Lytechinus pictus: one gene and its partner. The protein of the gene in region 2 purifies or fractionates together with the protein of the main gene of each other region. This does not show direct contact. Links are inferred from orthologs where the notes say so. Each region holds a gene or a part of one and is shown on either strand. Other genes may lie near its edges. The genes, in order: gem-associated protein 2-like and NCK-interacting protein with SH3 domain-like.

Region 1 (7,375 bases), about 32 Mb from region 2:
TCATTCGGACGGCAAACCTTTATTTAGTTGTAAAAATAGTTGAAATTAAAATCGATTATTGTTAAACTTACATTTCAGGCCCTTTTTGTTGATTTTCGGTGAGCGTTCCACACAGCTGCGACGAGTGATCAACTCCGAAGTGATACGCGTACTGGTCAGCTGATCGGTCAGGTGATCGGTTGGTTATCTTTTTGTCAGACGTTCATAATTTATGTTAAGCGTATCAATCTTCAGTATCTTGATTTCAAAGCATCAGTATTGCAGAGAAAAGTCATTATTGATTGGAATCAGTGGCGGGGGGGGGGGGGGGGAGGGGGGGGGTTGGGGTGAGCATTTCTGCCCGTTCCCCCTTTTGAGATTTATAGTAAACATTTTGGAATTAAATATGTTATTAATACTAGTTAAGTGCCCCCCCCCCTCATGAGAATCACGTACAGCATTATTTGTAATGGGGATATTTCGTTCATATTCTTTTCTCTTTTTTGCCTTTTTTTTTAATTGCCAAATTCAAAATTTTACTGGGAACAAATTAACAATATGACTTTCTATACATCACTTTTAGGGACAAACTTTTTTTTATGGGGGTGGGGGTTGGGGGCTTGCCAAATATAATAAATGGTGGAAAAAATGACCTTCTTTTTAGTGACAACGTTATAAAAAAATTGTCAAATTTTACGCGAGACAAAATGACCTTCGATCATTGCTATAGTTAAAACCTTTTTTTTTTTTTTTTTTTTTTTTTTTTTTTTGGGGGGGGGGGTTGCCAAATATCACGTGGACAAAATGACTTTCCCTTTTCTTATTTTTGTGGGGGGGGGGGGCTTGCCGAATATTACGCGGACAAAATGACTTTCATTTTGAGTGACCATTTTTTTTTAACTTGTCAAACTTTACGCGAGACAATATAATGACCGTTTTTTTTTTTTTTAGTAAGAACCTTTTTTGGGAGTTGTCAAATTTTACTTGAGAAAATTCACCCCGCCCCCCCCCCCCTACTTAATTTGGAAAATCTTGGATGCGCCTCTATATAGTTTGAATCATAATGAAGATTAAGATCATGCGTATATATAGCTTACATCCACGGCAGAGGCGTAAACCGCCGGGGGCATGCAGGCTGGCCCTTGATCCCCGGTCCAGTGGATTTCACCCAAAAAAAAACGGGATAAGAGAAAAGGAATGAAGGAAGGAAAAGAAAGAAAGAAAGACAGAAAGAGAAAGGGAAGAGAAATAAAAGGCCATAAAAAAGCAAAAGGAAAGAAAAATGCATGCGAGAATAATTCCGAATGTTATGTCAAAATCTATTGCAAAATTGATATTTGTAATAAAAGTGACAAAGGTTTTGCTCGCTCGCCTCTTCATCTGGTAGGCGCGTAGCTAGGGGCGGTGCCCCCCGAAAAGGTCCCTCCCCCCCAAAAAAAAATAAGGAGGGAATAGAGAAAATAAAAAGCGAAATGAGAAAAGGGGGATGTATATAACTTAGTTTATAATTGTTTTTCCTTTTTTTTTGGGGGGAAGGGGTCAAAACATTAACGTTATGTTTTTCTATAAATAGGTCTAATTGCTAAATATCCAGAGTTATCGAGACCCACCTGCTAATATTGCACTGGGGGTACACGATGGAAGGGTTAGGCCTAGGGGCCCCCGAAAGTTCAACAACCAAGATAAAAAAGAAATGAAGGGAATTAATGAAAAGAAAAGGAAAAGTGTAAGTTAAGATATCTATCTCAAATTTAGATTTGCACGAAAAGTTTTTTTCTCGCTTGCTTCACTCGCTTGGAACATATAAAGCAACTTTATTCCCACGCGCCATGTATGCCTACATTGGCCCTCTTTCTTTCTTTTCTTTTCTTTTTTTTTTACTCATCACGCTACCGTACTGCCACACACGGGTTTGCCCTAATGATCGTGGACAGTCATAAAAAATATCATTTTCATACCATGTGACTGGGAAATTTTTGGCTCCACCCCCCACCTCTCGATCCCTGTATCGATTTTGACTTGATAGGGGCCTATACCTGATGGAATTAGCTTCATTCAATATAAAATCATAACGGATAGAACGCCTTGAATACAGGCCAAACAGCCTAACGACATTGCCGTGTCACGTGACAACCAGTATTAAACGAGAATGTGCACAACCCTATGGCGACAAAATTTGCCGCAAAAGTTGAGCAAGTTCTGGACAAAAAGGCTTCAATACCCCAAGAAAAGACCAGGCGAGTACTATTTATACATTTTTTCAATTTAGTAATATCTAGAGTCTAATTTAAGAACAGATTTTGTCATGGAGCTCCATGGTAAGATCTAGTAATTTAAGTCCAACATTTAATTCGCGTGCACTCACTTTTTTAACACAGGAATTAATAGCCTTGGTGCTTAGAGTTAGAGTGGCGTGGAGGACAAAAAAAAATCAGAAAATGTTGAAAAACTCCTCCGGCTCCGAAACAGCAGATTTATCAATAAATGAATAGTATCAGTCTAAGAATAAAGACTAACAATACATTTTGATCAATTCAACTACATTGACCTCATCCTCGAGTCAGTAACAAGTAAAAGTCGTTGACGTTAGTCGTCTGACGCAAACATCGATGTAAATTCTGACGTTAAGAAGAAAATCTGGGCCAAATTTGAGTTAGGCCTATAATTCATTAATTAAAATGTGCATTTTGGGCTGGATACGAAGTCAATTTAGCACTACTTTTCGACTGGGTTGGCCGAATAAAAAATTAGCTTTTTTTTGCACAGCTCAGATTCACTTACAGTGAACTTACACAATAATAAATACGTGGGACAAGCGGCGCATTTGCCCAGCAGCAGCTCTTTTTTAGTGATATTTTTTCTCAAAATGTCCTTACCTAACCCGTTGTAGATATTCTTCAGCAGTGGCTGGTGCCCTATTATTGTCTTCTTCGAGATCACCTGAAACTTCTGGACCTCCAATTGGTAAAGCTTGAGGAAGTAGTTCATCCATGATCCCGGGCGTTATAGTGCTTCTAGTTCTACCCTCGACATGCTCAATTCAAATCGAAAGTTGCTCGTACGGTACGGTAGTATAGTACGGTACTACACCTACCCGGTGGGTGTTTCATAAAGCTGTTCGTAAGTTAAGAGCGACTTTAAGAACGACTGGAGATCCCTTCTTGTGGTAAATGTTATAATAAATTGGCGATGGTTTACTTTACTTAGCGCTAGCTTAAGAAAGGACCCCCACGAAGGGAAGAAGGGGTCTGAAAATTTGAACCCCATCAAAAAATCAATTTTGGCAAAAAAATCCTACGGGATTACACACCATATCGCACTACCAATCATTCAAGCTGTGCTAACATTATTACATAAAAGGGCGGGGAAAGCTTAATTTTATTAGAAAATTGGAGACCAATATCATTACTCAGTTAACATTGATTATAAAATAGCTACAGGCGTCTTGGTAAAGAGAGTGAAACAAATTATACCTCATATTATTTCGAATGATCCATCGGGATTTAGGAAACATAGGTCGGCTTTAGAGAATGTGCAACTTATTGTACCAGATGTTATTGATTATTCTAAAATGAATTAATCAGGTGTTTTAATGTTCATAGACTTTCAAAAGGCGTTTGATAACGTCAGACATGGTTTTCTGTTTACCACGTTACGTAACTGAGATGCAATTTAAAGAGTATTTTATTCATTGGACACTAACGTTATACGAATAAGAATACAAAATAAATTGAAAGATTGTTAGAATACATTAATTGATTGATTGCATTGATTTTTGTATTTATTTTGTGATTTGTATATTGTATTATAGATATGTAAATAAAGTCCCTCGTAAGAGGTTTAAAGAAAGAAAAAAAATCCCAAAATCCTTACGATTACATCAATGTGAATGAAATTTTGTTCAGGCTTTGGAATGCTACATGCTATGTCTGAATGATTTAGAGATTATTCACATTTTTTTTTTCATTTCTGCCCTCATCTTTTTTTTCATTTGCAACATGTTGCTATTTCCATTTTTGGAGGGGGGGGGGGGGAGAGTGGAGTACATGATTGGACACCGGCCTTTCAAGTACTGAAAATTTGTGCTCTCTCCTTTCCTTATATTGAAAAATGATATTTTGTGAAAATAGAAGAAAACGAATGTTTATTTGAGTTGAAAAATAGCTCTTCATGTGGGAGTATCCCATACTGTTGAATTTCTCACCTCATTAAGAATTTACCAGGAATTTCTATCAGATACTAGTAATATACTTTATCTTTTACATAACAAGCGCTTTATATTTTCTTATTAATTTATATGTTAATGAAATATAAAAAACCTAGATAATGATTATATTTGCATATTTAGAGCTAGATAACGTATCTCGAAAAGTTGTAATGCTCATTATACTTGGTACTGCAGTTGGCTCTCATTAGTTTTACTCGTCGTCGTTAATGGAATATAAAAGCAATGACGCCGCTTTGTATTTTTCTCGGTTTTTTTTCATTTTGGCGAAAAAAAACGGAACATAGTACGCACTCTTCGTGTTGGTTAACAGGATCGATATTTCATCTAAATATATGTGAGCGAGAAGCGGTAGCTGAAAACTCTGGTCATGGAGCACGTTTTTAATAAAGAACAATTAATATATCCCATAAACATGATAAACACTTATTGCAAACGCAAATCGCTAGCTTTTTGAGGTTTAGACCTAAAATGGGACATTCTATTCACTTTTTGTACCCATGAAAAGAATGCCTTGCTATAGAAAGGATGAGAGCGAGAAGCGCATGCTGAAAAATGTTGACATTCTAATCCGAAAACTGGATATAAGCACGCTTTGATATATAAAGAACGAACAGTATCTCAATACACAAATAAATGGGAGTATGAGTTGATTTTTTTCATATACTGACCAGAAATGGAAATGTTGAAGATGACATCGATGTTACTATATCTGATGGGAGCGCGAAGCTCGAGTTGATTTTTTTTTTTTTTTTTGGGGGGGGGGGGTGATTATAAGTCCTAAAATCGAGACATTCTAAGGCACCTTTGTAATAATGAACTGGATGCATTTCTAAATAAACAATTATTATGAATGCAAAGTGTTGAGATTTTTGATATAGGCCTACTGACCTGAAATGGGACCATTTCAAGGATCGATTGGTTGTTGTAATTCAGGAATATGATATGCATCTCGCTATAGTCAAATAGTGCAAGCGCGTAGCGCGAGCTGAAATGTTTGATATTCAGCTCTTTATTGTAACCATGGACAGGATCCGTATTTCGCTGAAACGAGGTAAAGAGACTCGAATGGTGGGCGAGTTGTCCTCTTGATTAGATTATTATCTCATTCAAGGCTACGTTATCGCAAAGCAAGCGATTTTTTTTTCGTTTCATATAATGACCTAAGTTTTTTTTCTTCAAAAAATGTTCCATTCGCTGTTCTTCATTTTCTTATCATTTTCCCTTTCCTTCTTCTCTTGCATCTCCTTCCTTCTTCACTTCCCGGTTTCTTCCAGATTTGTGTGTGTGTGTGTGTGTGTTGGCAAATGGCAGGGTTCCGCGGAATCCCCGGAATCCCCCCCCCCCCCCTCCAAGCTACAGGTCTGAAATATAATTATCATTACAAGAGAGCGTATTCAATTAGCTTTTACAAAGTTTATTTCAGTCATTCTCTTCATGGGCACAAATTGAAAAGAAAAGGTAGGAACACGACAAAGCAACTGGCTGTTCTCAAACCAATGAAATCACTATTGCAATCATAATTAATTTCAAATTTTATTCATTTGAAGAATTAATTATCGCTTGATGAAAAACATCAAAGTCTACATTCCAAATCCATTATATTCTAATTTGTTTGAAATTAACAAAATCGAATATGTTAAAAATAATTGTGTTGATTCTTCCAATAAACTCTCATGCATGCATAACGCTGAACCAGTTGCGACCTTGGGTCATGGCATTGGGGGGGGGGGCACCAGCAAAAAATTTGAGTCACTTAGTGAGCGCGCGAAGCGCTCAGTTACCAGGTTAAGGACAGTGCCATTAAACGGATATGCATCTCACTGATCAAACAATGCGAGCGCGTAGCGCGAGCTGAACATTTTTAGTATTTAGACCTGAAAAGGGACATTATAAGCAAATTTGTGTAATCATGATGCGTACCTGTTTCGCAAAACAAACAATGCGAGCGCGAAGCGCGAGCTGAATTTTTGTATATATTGACCCCAAACAAGGACATTTTAAGGACTATATTTTAGGAACCCATTAAGAGTATACATATCTCAGCATAGCCATCTAATAAATCAATAAATAAATGCGAGTGCCAAGCGCTTGCTGATTTTGTTAGAATTACATCTGAACACATGAAGCACTTGTCGTCACTGTAATCATGTACTAATCAAATATTTTTTTTAAGGACTGATTTTAGGAATTCACAAAGAGCAGACATACCTCACCAATCCACTAATGTGAACGTAAGCACGGACAGGAAATGTTTTATATCAAGACCTTAAAATGAGGCAATCACTTTATGAAGTCATGAAAAAGAAGCATATGTCACTACATAAAACGATAATAACTCGAATTGCGAGGAAATATATTTGGTGAATATTGACTTGAAAACGGGAGGTTTTAGTACAACAGGATTATACATGTATATCTCGTTAAACAGACAATGCGAGCACCAGGAATAATATGGGCCCTGAGCAAATTATGTTTCATAAAGTTATGAAAAAAATGATTCTTATAATATTATGTAATATAACATAACGTAATCATAATATAGTATATAAAATGATAACATTATAATGAACAATTATTTCTTATTTTCCTACTACTATTTCTTATTTTCCTACTACTACTATTACAATATAAATATCATTGTACAATGAAATACAATGAATGAATAAAAAATATAGAACTTTTGTGACAACATGGGGGTGACTCCAAGGCCCCTACTATTATGTAAATGATCAGTTCGTTAGAATGGGAATCACTGGGGAAATGGACAGAGTCTTTTTTCGTTCACGTAATTGGACAAGTCTGCAGTTTTTACCTCAACATATTCGTCCTCGTACAAAAATACAACCCCAAACATGACAATTTAGCCCCTTTTTGCATCTTTAAATGAATGCTCCGGGCTGAGCATAATATGATTTAAACAGATAAAGAAAAATCAGACAGACAAAACACAAAATTGGACTAAGAATAACAAAGTTATGGCATTTTAAAGATTTGCATTATTCCGGTGAAACAGTTCTCGGCATGTCTTTATGAATATTCAATGAGCAGCTTGATGATGTCATATCCCCACTTGTTCTTTTGTACTTTATTATATGTAATAAGGTTTATTTTGATTTTTCTACCAAGAACTGAAATAATTGGATTGACATCTGATTTGGTGCATTAGAT
Region 2 (8,143 bases):
TTGCGAACATTTAAAGAATATTCATCATGCTTAAATTTGTTCACAAAATATTCACAATTTATACAAAACCAATTTCAAAACAAGTGGAACGCCTCTGGCAGTCTCGCCTGCATTACGCAATTCGATATAGCAGCAGTGCTTCCTTTGAAAAACAGCTAATGAATAATTATTCACAGAAGAAAACACTAATATAATAAAATATTATGTCCATTGACCCAGAATGACCTTTGACCATGATCATGTGACCTAAGACATGTGCAAAACAATCATTCATACTTGATTACCCTTATGTCGATGTTTCATGAGCAAGTACCATAAACTTCCTAAGTTATAATGCCAATTCAACACATACCCCCAACACGGCCAGAGTTCATTGACCATTAAATGACCTTTGATCTTGGCATGTTCCTGAAACACACACAGGGTATTCAGAGATACATTGCTGCTCTTATATCCAAGTTTCATGAACTAAATCCATAGACTTTTAAAGTTATGATGACAACTAACATTACCGAAGTTTGCTGATCCTTAATGACCTTTGACCTTGATCATGTGACCTGAATCTAGCACAGGATGTCCAAAGATTCTTGATTGCTCTTATGTCCAAGTTTCATGAACTAGATCCATAAAATTTCAAAGTTATGACAATTCCTCAAATACCCCCAATATGGCCATAGTTCACTGACCCTAAGTGACCTTTGACCTTGGTCATGTGACCTGAAACTTGCGCATGATATTCAGGAATACATGGTTGCTCTTATGTCCAAGTTTCATGAACTAGATCCATAAACTTCTAAAGTTATGACAATTCCTCAAATAACCCTAACATGGCCAAAGTTTGTTGACCCTAAGTGACCTTTGACCTTAATCATGTGACATGAAACTCAGGCAGGATATTCAGTGATACACTATTACCCTTATAGTTTTATGAACTAGGTCTATACACTTTTGAAGTTATGACAACATTTCAAAAACATAACCTAGGTTAGGATTTCGATATTGATTCCCCCAACATGGCCATAGTTCATTGACCCTAAGTGACCTTTGACCTTGGTCATGTGACCTGAAACTCGCGCATGATATTCAGGAATACATGGTTGCTCTTATGTCCAAGTTTCATGAACTAGATCCATAAACTTCTAAAGTTATGACAATTCCTCAAATAACCCTAACATGGCCAAAGTTTGCTGACCCTAAGTGACCTTTGACCTTAATCATGTGACATGAAACTCAGGCAGGATATTCAGTGATACACTATTACCCTTATAGTTTTATGAACTAGGTCTATACACTTTTGAAGTTATGACAACATTTCAAAAACTTAACCTAGGTTAGGATTTCGATATTGATTCCCCCAACATGGCCATAGTTCATTGACCCTAAGTGACCTTTGACCTTGGTCATGTGACCTGAAACTCGCGCATGATATTCAGGAATACATGGTTGCTCTTATGTCCAAGTTTCATGAACTAGATCCATAAACTTCTAAAGTTATGACAATTCCTCAAATAACCCTAACATGGCCAAAGTTTGTTGACCCTAAGTGACCTTTGACCTTAATCATGTGACATGAAACTCAGGCAGGATATTCAGTGATACACTATTACCCTTATAGTTTTATGAACTAGGTCTATACACTTTTGAAGTAATGACAACATTTCAAAAACATAACCTAGGTTAGGATTTCGATATTGATTCCCCCAACATGGTCTAAGTTCATTGACCCTAAATGACCTTTGACCTCGGTCATGTGACCTGAAACTCAGGCAGGATGTTTCATGAACTAGGTCCATTAAGTTATGATGGCATTTCAAAAACTTAACCAAGGTAAAGATTTCAATGTTGACGCCGCCGCCGTCGGAAAAGCGGCGCCTATAGTCTCGCTCTGGCGAGACAAAAAGCTACCACATTGACGGCAAGATCATAAACTATAAAATCAGTGACAAAAATGTTAAGTAGGTCAAGGGGTTTTGCCCTTATTGCGATCTCAAAATTCTATTCCGATCGATGAATGCGCGCTGTGCTGGAAATCCGTTCAGAAAAAGTGTGACCTAACTTCGCGGTCCAAAGTTTTGTTGAGATTTAAACAAAAAAATCGAGCTAAAAAAAATGAGATATTTATATCAGATGTACAGCAAAATGCTATAGAATCGGTCAGTATGTTTTCCATTTTTTATGGTATCTGCTTGCAAAAAGATGATATCGTGATGCCTGTTGGGAGGTTAAGATTTTTTTGGAATGGGTGCCGATGATGGTGAAAAATTTGCTGATCTTTTGTCAATCCTTTCAAGAATAATGAACTCATCCTTAAGAAACTTTCGCTAGAGTGTAATTTTAGGTTGCTTTTCATGTTGATGTCAGATTTTTTGGATATTCAATAGTTTTTTAGATGGACACACATGAAGTTTGGACTCACTACCATATACTAACCTCACACCACTCATTCAATGAACAAGGTTATTATAACCCTGTTCTCTGTTACTATTCCCTGTGTGGTGAAATAATGTTGGCAATGATTGGCTTATTTTCTCTTGTTTTGGGGGGACAAATGCTTGATTTTTTTTAACACTGTCAGTTTCCATTACAACCATTCATCATATAACTTGGTTCTTTAATTAAATTGAAGTCTTTTAATTATTTTTTCTAAATTAACAAGGCAAAAGCAATTTTGTGTCTCGCCCACTTATGAAAATGACCAGAAATATCGTGATTTGCGAGGGCACGCAAGAGAATTATATCGAAACTGCATTGTGAAATGACTGGGATGGAATAACACTTGTCATAAGAGCCTTACACGTAAACTTTAATGTTGACCTGAAAATGACCTTACCATGTGACCTCCGACTGCAGCATAACATGCAGGTCCCCCAAGTCCATCTACCATCCAAGTTTGGTTGAAAAGCGACTTACAGATGCGGAGTTAGGTGTCATAAGAGAGTCTTGCATGTAAACTATAACGTTGACCTGAAAATGACCTTTGACCTTACCATGTGACCTCTGACTGCAGCATAACATGCAGGTCCCCCAAGTCCATCTACCATCCAAGTTTGGTTGAAAAGTGACTTATGGTTGGGTAGTTAGGTGTCATAAGAGAGTCTTGCATGTAAACTTTTAACGTTGACCTGAAAATGACCTTTGACCTTACCATGTGACCTCCGACTGCAGCATAACATGTAGGTCCCCCAAGTCCATCTACCATCCAAGTTTGGTTAAAATGCGACTTACGGTTGCAGAGTTAGGTGTCATAAGAGAGTCTTGCATGTAAACTTTAATGTTGCCCTGAAAATGACCTTTGACATTATCATGTGACCTCCGACTGCAGCATAACATGCAGGTCCCCCAAGTCCATCTACCATCCAAGTTTGGTTGAAAAGTGACTTTCGGTTGCGGAGTTAGGTGTCATAAGAGAGTCTTGCATGTAAACTTTAACGTTGACCTGAAAATGACCTTTGACCTTACCATGTGATTTCTGACTGCAGCATAACATGCAGGTCCCCCAAGTCCATCTACCATCCAAGTTTGGTTAAAATGCGACTTACGGTTGCGGAGTTAGGTATCATAAGAGAGTCTTGCATGTAAACTTAACGTTGACCTGAAAATGACCTTTGACCTTACCATGTGACCTATAACTTCAGCATAACATGCAGGTCCCCCAAGTCCATCTACCATCCAAGTTTGGTTGAAAAGCGACTTACGGTTGCGGAGTTAGGTGTCATAAGAGAGTCTTGCATGTAAACTTTAACGTTGACCTGAAAATGACCTTTGACCTTACCATGTGACCTCTGACTGCAGCATAACATGCAGGTCCCCCAAGTCCATCTACCATCCAAGTTTGGTTGAAAAGTGACTTATGGTTGGGTAGTTAGGTGTCATAAGAGAGTCTTGCATGTAAACTTTTAACGTTGACCTGAAAATGACCTTTGACCTTACCATGTGACCTCCGACTGCAGCATAACATGTAGGTCCCCCAAGTCCATCTACCATCCAAGTTTGGTTAAAATGCGACTTACGGTTGCAGAGTTAGGTGTCATAAGAGAGTCTTGCATGTAAACTTTAATGTTGACCTGAAAATGACCTTTGACATTATCATGTGACCTCCGACTGCAGCATAACATGCAGGTCCCCCAAGTCCATCTACCATCCAAGTTTGGTTGAAAAGTGACTTTCGGTTGCGGAGTTAGGTGTCATAAGAGAGTCTTGCATGTAAACTTTAACGTTGACCTGAAAATGACCTTTGACCTTACCATGTGATTTCTGACTGCAGCATAACATGCAGGTCCCCCAAGTCCATCTACCATCCAAGTTTGGTTAAAATGCGACTTACGGTTGCGGAGTTAGGTATCATAAGAGAGTCTTGCATGTAAACTTAACGTTGACCTGAAAATGACCTTTGACCTTACCATGTGACCTATAACTTCAGCATAACATGCAGGTCCCCCAAGTCCATCTACCATCCAAGTTTGGTTGAAAAGCGACTTACGGTTGCGGAGTTAGGTGTCATAAGAGAGTCTTGCATGTAAACTTTAACGTTGACCTGAAAATGACCTTTGACCTTACCATGTGACCTCCGACTGCAGCATAACATGCAGGTCCCCCAAGTCCATCTACCATCCAAGTTTGGTTGAAAAGCGACTTACGGTTGCGGAGTTAGGTGTCATAAGAGAGTCTTGCATGTAAACTTTAACGTTGACCTGAAAATGACCTTTGACCTTACCATGTGACCTCCGACTGCAGCATAACATGCAGGTCCCCCAAGTCCATCTACCATCCAAGTTTGGTTGAAAATCGACTTACGGTTGTGGAGTTATGTGTCATTAAGTTTGTGACGGACGGACGACGGACGACATTTGGATCCCTAAGTCTCGCCTTCACCTCCGGTGGGCGAGACAAAAATAGAGATTTAACAAGTGGAACGCCTCTGGCAGTCTCGCCTGCATTACGCAATTTAATATAGCAGCAGTGCTAACTTTGAAAACTACTATAAAATAATCATTAAAAAAAAACACCATTCATACTGTATAATGACATAATACCATGTTCATTGACCATAAATTACATTTGAATGGAGACTTAAGACTGTCAACTACACCCATGTCCACATTTCATTCACTCTATCCATAAACTTTCAAAGTTATGATGGCAATTCAACAATTACCCCAACATGGCCTAAGTTTATTGACCTTAACTGACCTTTGACTTGGTTTTGTGACCTGAAACTCACAGGGGATGTTCAGTGATGCTTGATTACTCTTATATCCCAAGTTTTATGAACTAGATTCATAAACTTTCAGAGTTAGGATGGTAATTGAACAAATACCCCCAACACGGCCAAAGTTCATTGACCTTTAATGACCTTTGACCATGGTCATGTGACCTGAAACTCGTACAGGATGTTCAGTGATACTTGATTACTCTTATGTCCAAGTTTCATGAACTAGATCCATAAATTTTCAAAGTTATGATGGTAATTCAACAAATACCCCCAACTTGGCCAAAGTTCATTGACCCTAAATGACCTTTGACCTTGGTCATGTGACCTGAAACTCAGGCAGGATGTTTACTAATACTTGATTAACCTTATGTCCAAGTTTCATGGACTAGATCCATAAATTTTAAAAGTTATGATAGTAATTCAACAAATACCCCCAACTTGACCAAAGTTCATTGACCCTAAATGACCTTTGACCTTGGTCACGTGACCTGAAACTCGAGCAGGATGTTCACTAATACTCGATTAACCTTATGCCCAAGTTTCATGAACTAGGTCCATATACTTTCTTAAGTTATGATGTCATTTCAAAAACTTAACCTTCGGTTAAGATTTTGAAAATAATTTTCCCAACATGGTCTAAGTTCATTGACCCTAAATGACCTTTGACCTTGGTCATGTGACCTGAAACTCAGGCAAGATGTTAACTAATACTTGTGTAGGATTGTTAATTTGTCATTTACCTATTTTGTTTATTTCCTTTGACTTGTGTTTTCTTCAGGTGTTTTACATTTCTGTTCTGTCTAGACTTTAGTTCATTTGCATTTCTTTTCAGTACTGCCCTTGCAGTCTGGACTTAGGTTATTTGAGTTTAATGATATTCAGTTGTCATTCATTCATTCTACTCTGAATGCCTTTCCTGTGTTTCTCTTGTCATCTTCATTCCTTCTCTATTCTCTCTTCAGGTGTTCCACTCATTCCATCCCTCACCTGACTCCTTAGTTTCTACTTCCATTATTACATAATCACCAGACATCTTTGTCATCTCATCTCATTCCTTATTGGTTTATCTTATGAATTGGGTTCTTACATTTTAGTTCGATCCTTCCATTTTCTTTAGTTTGATTGGTTGTTATTTCTAATTTAAATATTTATGTAAATTATACTGTGATCCAAAGTTAAGCTGAGGCAAAATAGCCCAGATATTAAACAGTGTACAACCAGACTCCTTCGGTTTAAGTTATCTTCATTTTGCGTCTGCTTCATTCCCCTTCAGTTTGATGATTTAGAACTTCCATTTATTTTCAACTCCAAACATATAATTTTCTTCAACCCTACAACTGGTGGCAGCGGTGCTTCGAACCTTATGCCTCGCTTATCTGTTCGCCACAAACTTTCAATCATATTTCGTCAACTTTATCGTCATCATGTTCCTGTTGGAGAAACATTTAGCCCTTCATACATGTACTTCTGTTCAGCCGTTACTTCTTGCCTGATTGATGCTAGCCAGCAGCTCGCCTATAACTTCAACGTCAATGCTGTGGCTTGTCTAGTAGGATGATGCTACTACCAGCCAGTCTTCGCCTTTAGCTCTATACCTGAGTGGATGAAAGCCTTGCCTGAGTACCAGCTCGGATCTTCGCCTATTGCTCTTTGTGAGTGGATAAACGTTCTGCCTGATTACCAGCCAACCTTCGCCTTTTTCTCAACGTGAGTAGATGAAAGTTCTGCCTGCGAGTCAGCCTCTCGCCTTTAACTACAACCATTGCCCGACTACATGGAGTGGATGATGTCGCTGCCTATTTTTCTTCATTCAGTCTCTTCGGCTCAACAGTCTCCCACCTTTGCCTCATGATGCCTTCCAGCCTCTCGCCTTGCTTCTCTTCGTCGAGTGAATGATGCTGCCTTTTGGTCTTCATGTTGCTTTGTCCCTTTATCTTCGCTCGATGCATGACACCTTCCAGCCTCTCGCCTGTTACTCTGTCGCCTACGCATCTAGAGTTGATGACGCTCTGCTTTGATCTTCGAAGCCAGCCGCCACCTTTTGCTCTTCAGTTGCTCCAGCCCATGAGTGGATGATGCTGTTCCCCTGGTCTTCATGCATACAGTGAAAACTTTTCGCCCCCTAAGAAGGTCCGATATTCAACAACTTGAACTTGATGTCTCCATTTTACCACCAGACTACATTCTTCTCTCAAACTCAAACTTTATTTGGAACTTTTGGACAATTTATTTCCCTGATGGTGAGAACACTAACAATTTTCATTAAATTTTGTCACAGATTTTAAATTTGTTGAAAAATATAAAAATGATTTCTGTGATCATTAAATTCCCTTAACTTTACATTTATGCAATTTTTGTTTATTAAATAATTTTGTATCAGATTGATCTATGGAATAATCTTGCCAAATGTATTAATAAGTTCTATTCAATTAATTTCATACAAAAACGATAGATATTTACTATGATAGCCAAATTCTAAGTTCAAATAGCATTTTATCAATTTTTAGATAAATTATGTATCCAAACTGATCTATTTCTTTATATACTGTAAAAGGCATATACACAAATTCCAGTATTTTATTTATACTCGAGTGTTTTCTTATACACAAATGAATTCGATTAAAAAAAGCAATCATTTTTTTTATCAAACCCATATATTTGATTCTTAACTGGAATTAATCACATGCCTTATTTTGATTTAATGTTGGGCTTATATAGAAACATTTTTTTTTAGCAAGATTATTCAAATTCTACAAAAGTATATTTTTGTTTTATTGAATCAGATAATTTTCTTTAGGTATTTATTTGTCTTAAATTGGTGTCTTAAATGTACATAAATAGAAATATATTTACGATTTGTCAATAATCGAGTGATTACAATTAATGTGCAATATATCAAAATTATAATTTTCTCAGCTCAGTATTGATGTA

The links.
Region 1: the proteins of NCK-interacting protein with SH3 domain-like (region 2) and gem-associated protein 2-like purify together in Homo sapiens (co-immunoprecipitation; 3 studies listed by BioGRID and IntAct, counting the BioPlex papers as one, with this or other methods). This does not show direct contact. The link is inferred for Lytechinus pictus from reciprocal best matches to the Homo sapiens genes NCKIPSD and GEMIN2.

Annotation. Positions count from the first base shown.
Region 1 is NC_087247.1:36,677,589-36,684,963, forward strand, and holds the start of gem-associated protein 2-like, read right to left. Parts: upstream 3,025-7,375; 5' UTR 2,972-3,024; coding exon 2,856-2,971; intron 1-2,855. UniProt on the Homo sapiens protein: The SMN complex catalyzes the assembly of small nuclear ribonucleoproteins (snRNPs), the building blocks of the spliceosome, and thereby plays an important role in the splicing of cellular pre-mRNAs.
Region 2 is NC_087247.1:69,146,160-69,154,302, forward strand, and holds the start of NCK-interacting protein with SH3 domain-like, read right to left. Parts: upstream 3,123-8,143; 5' UTR 2,878-3,122; coding exon 2,831-2,877; intron 1-2,830. UniProt on the Homo sapiens protein: Has an important role in stress fiber formation induced by active diaphanous protein homolog 1 (DRF1). Induces microspike formation, in vivo. In vitro, stimulates N-WASP-induced ARP2/3 complex activation in the absence of CDC42.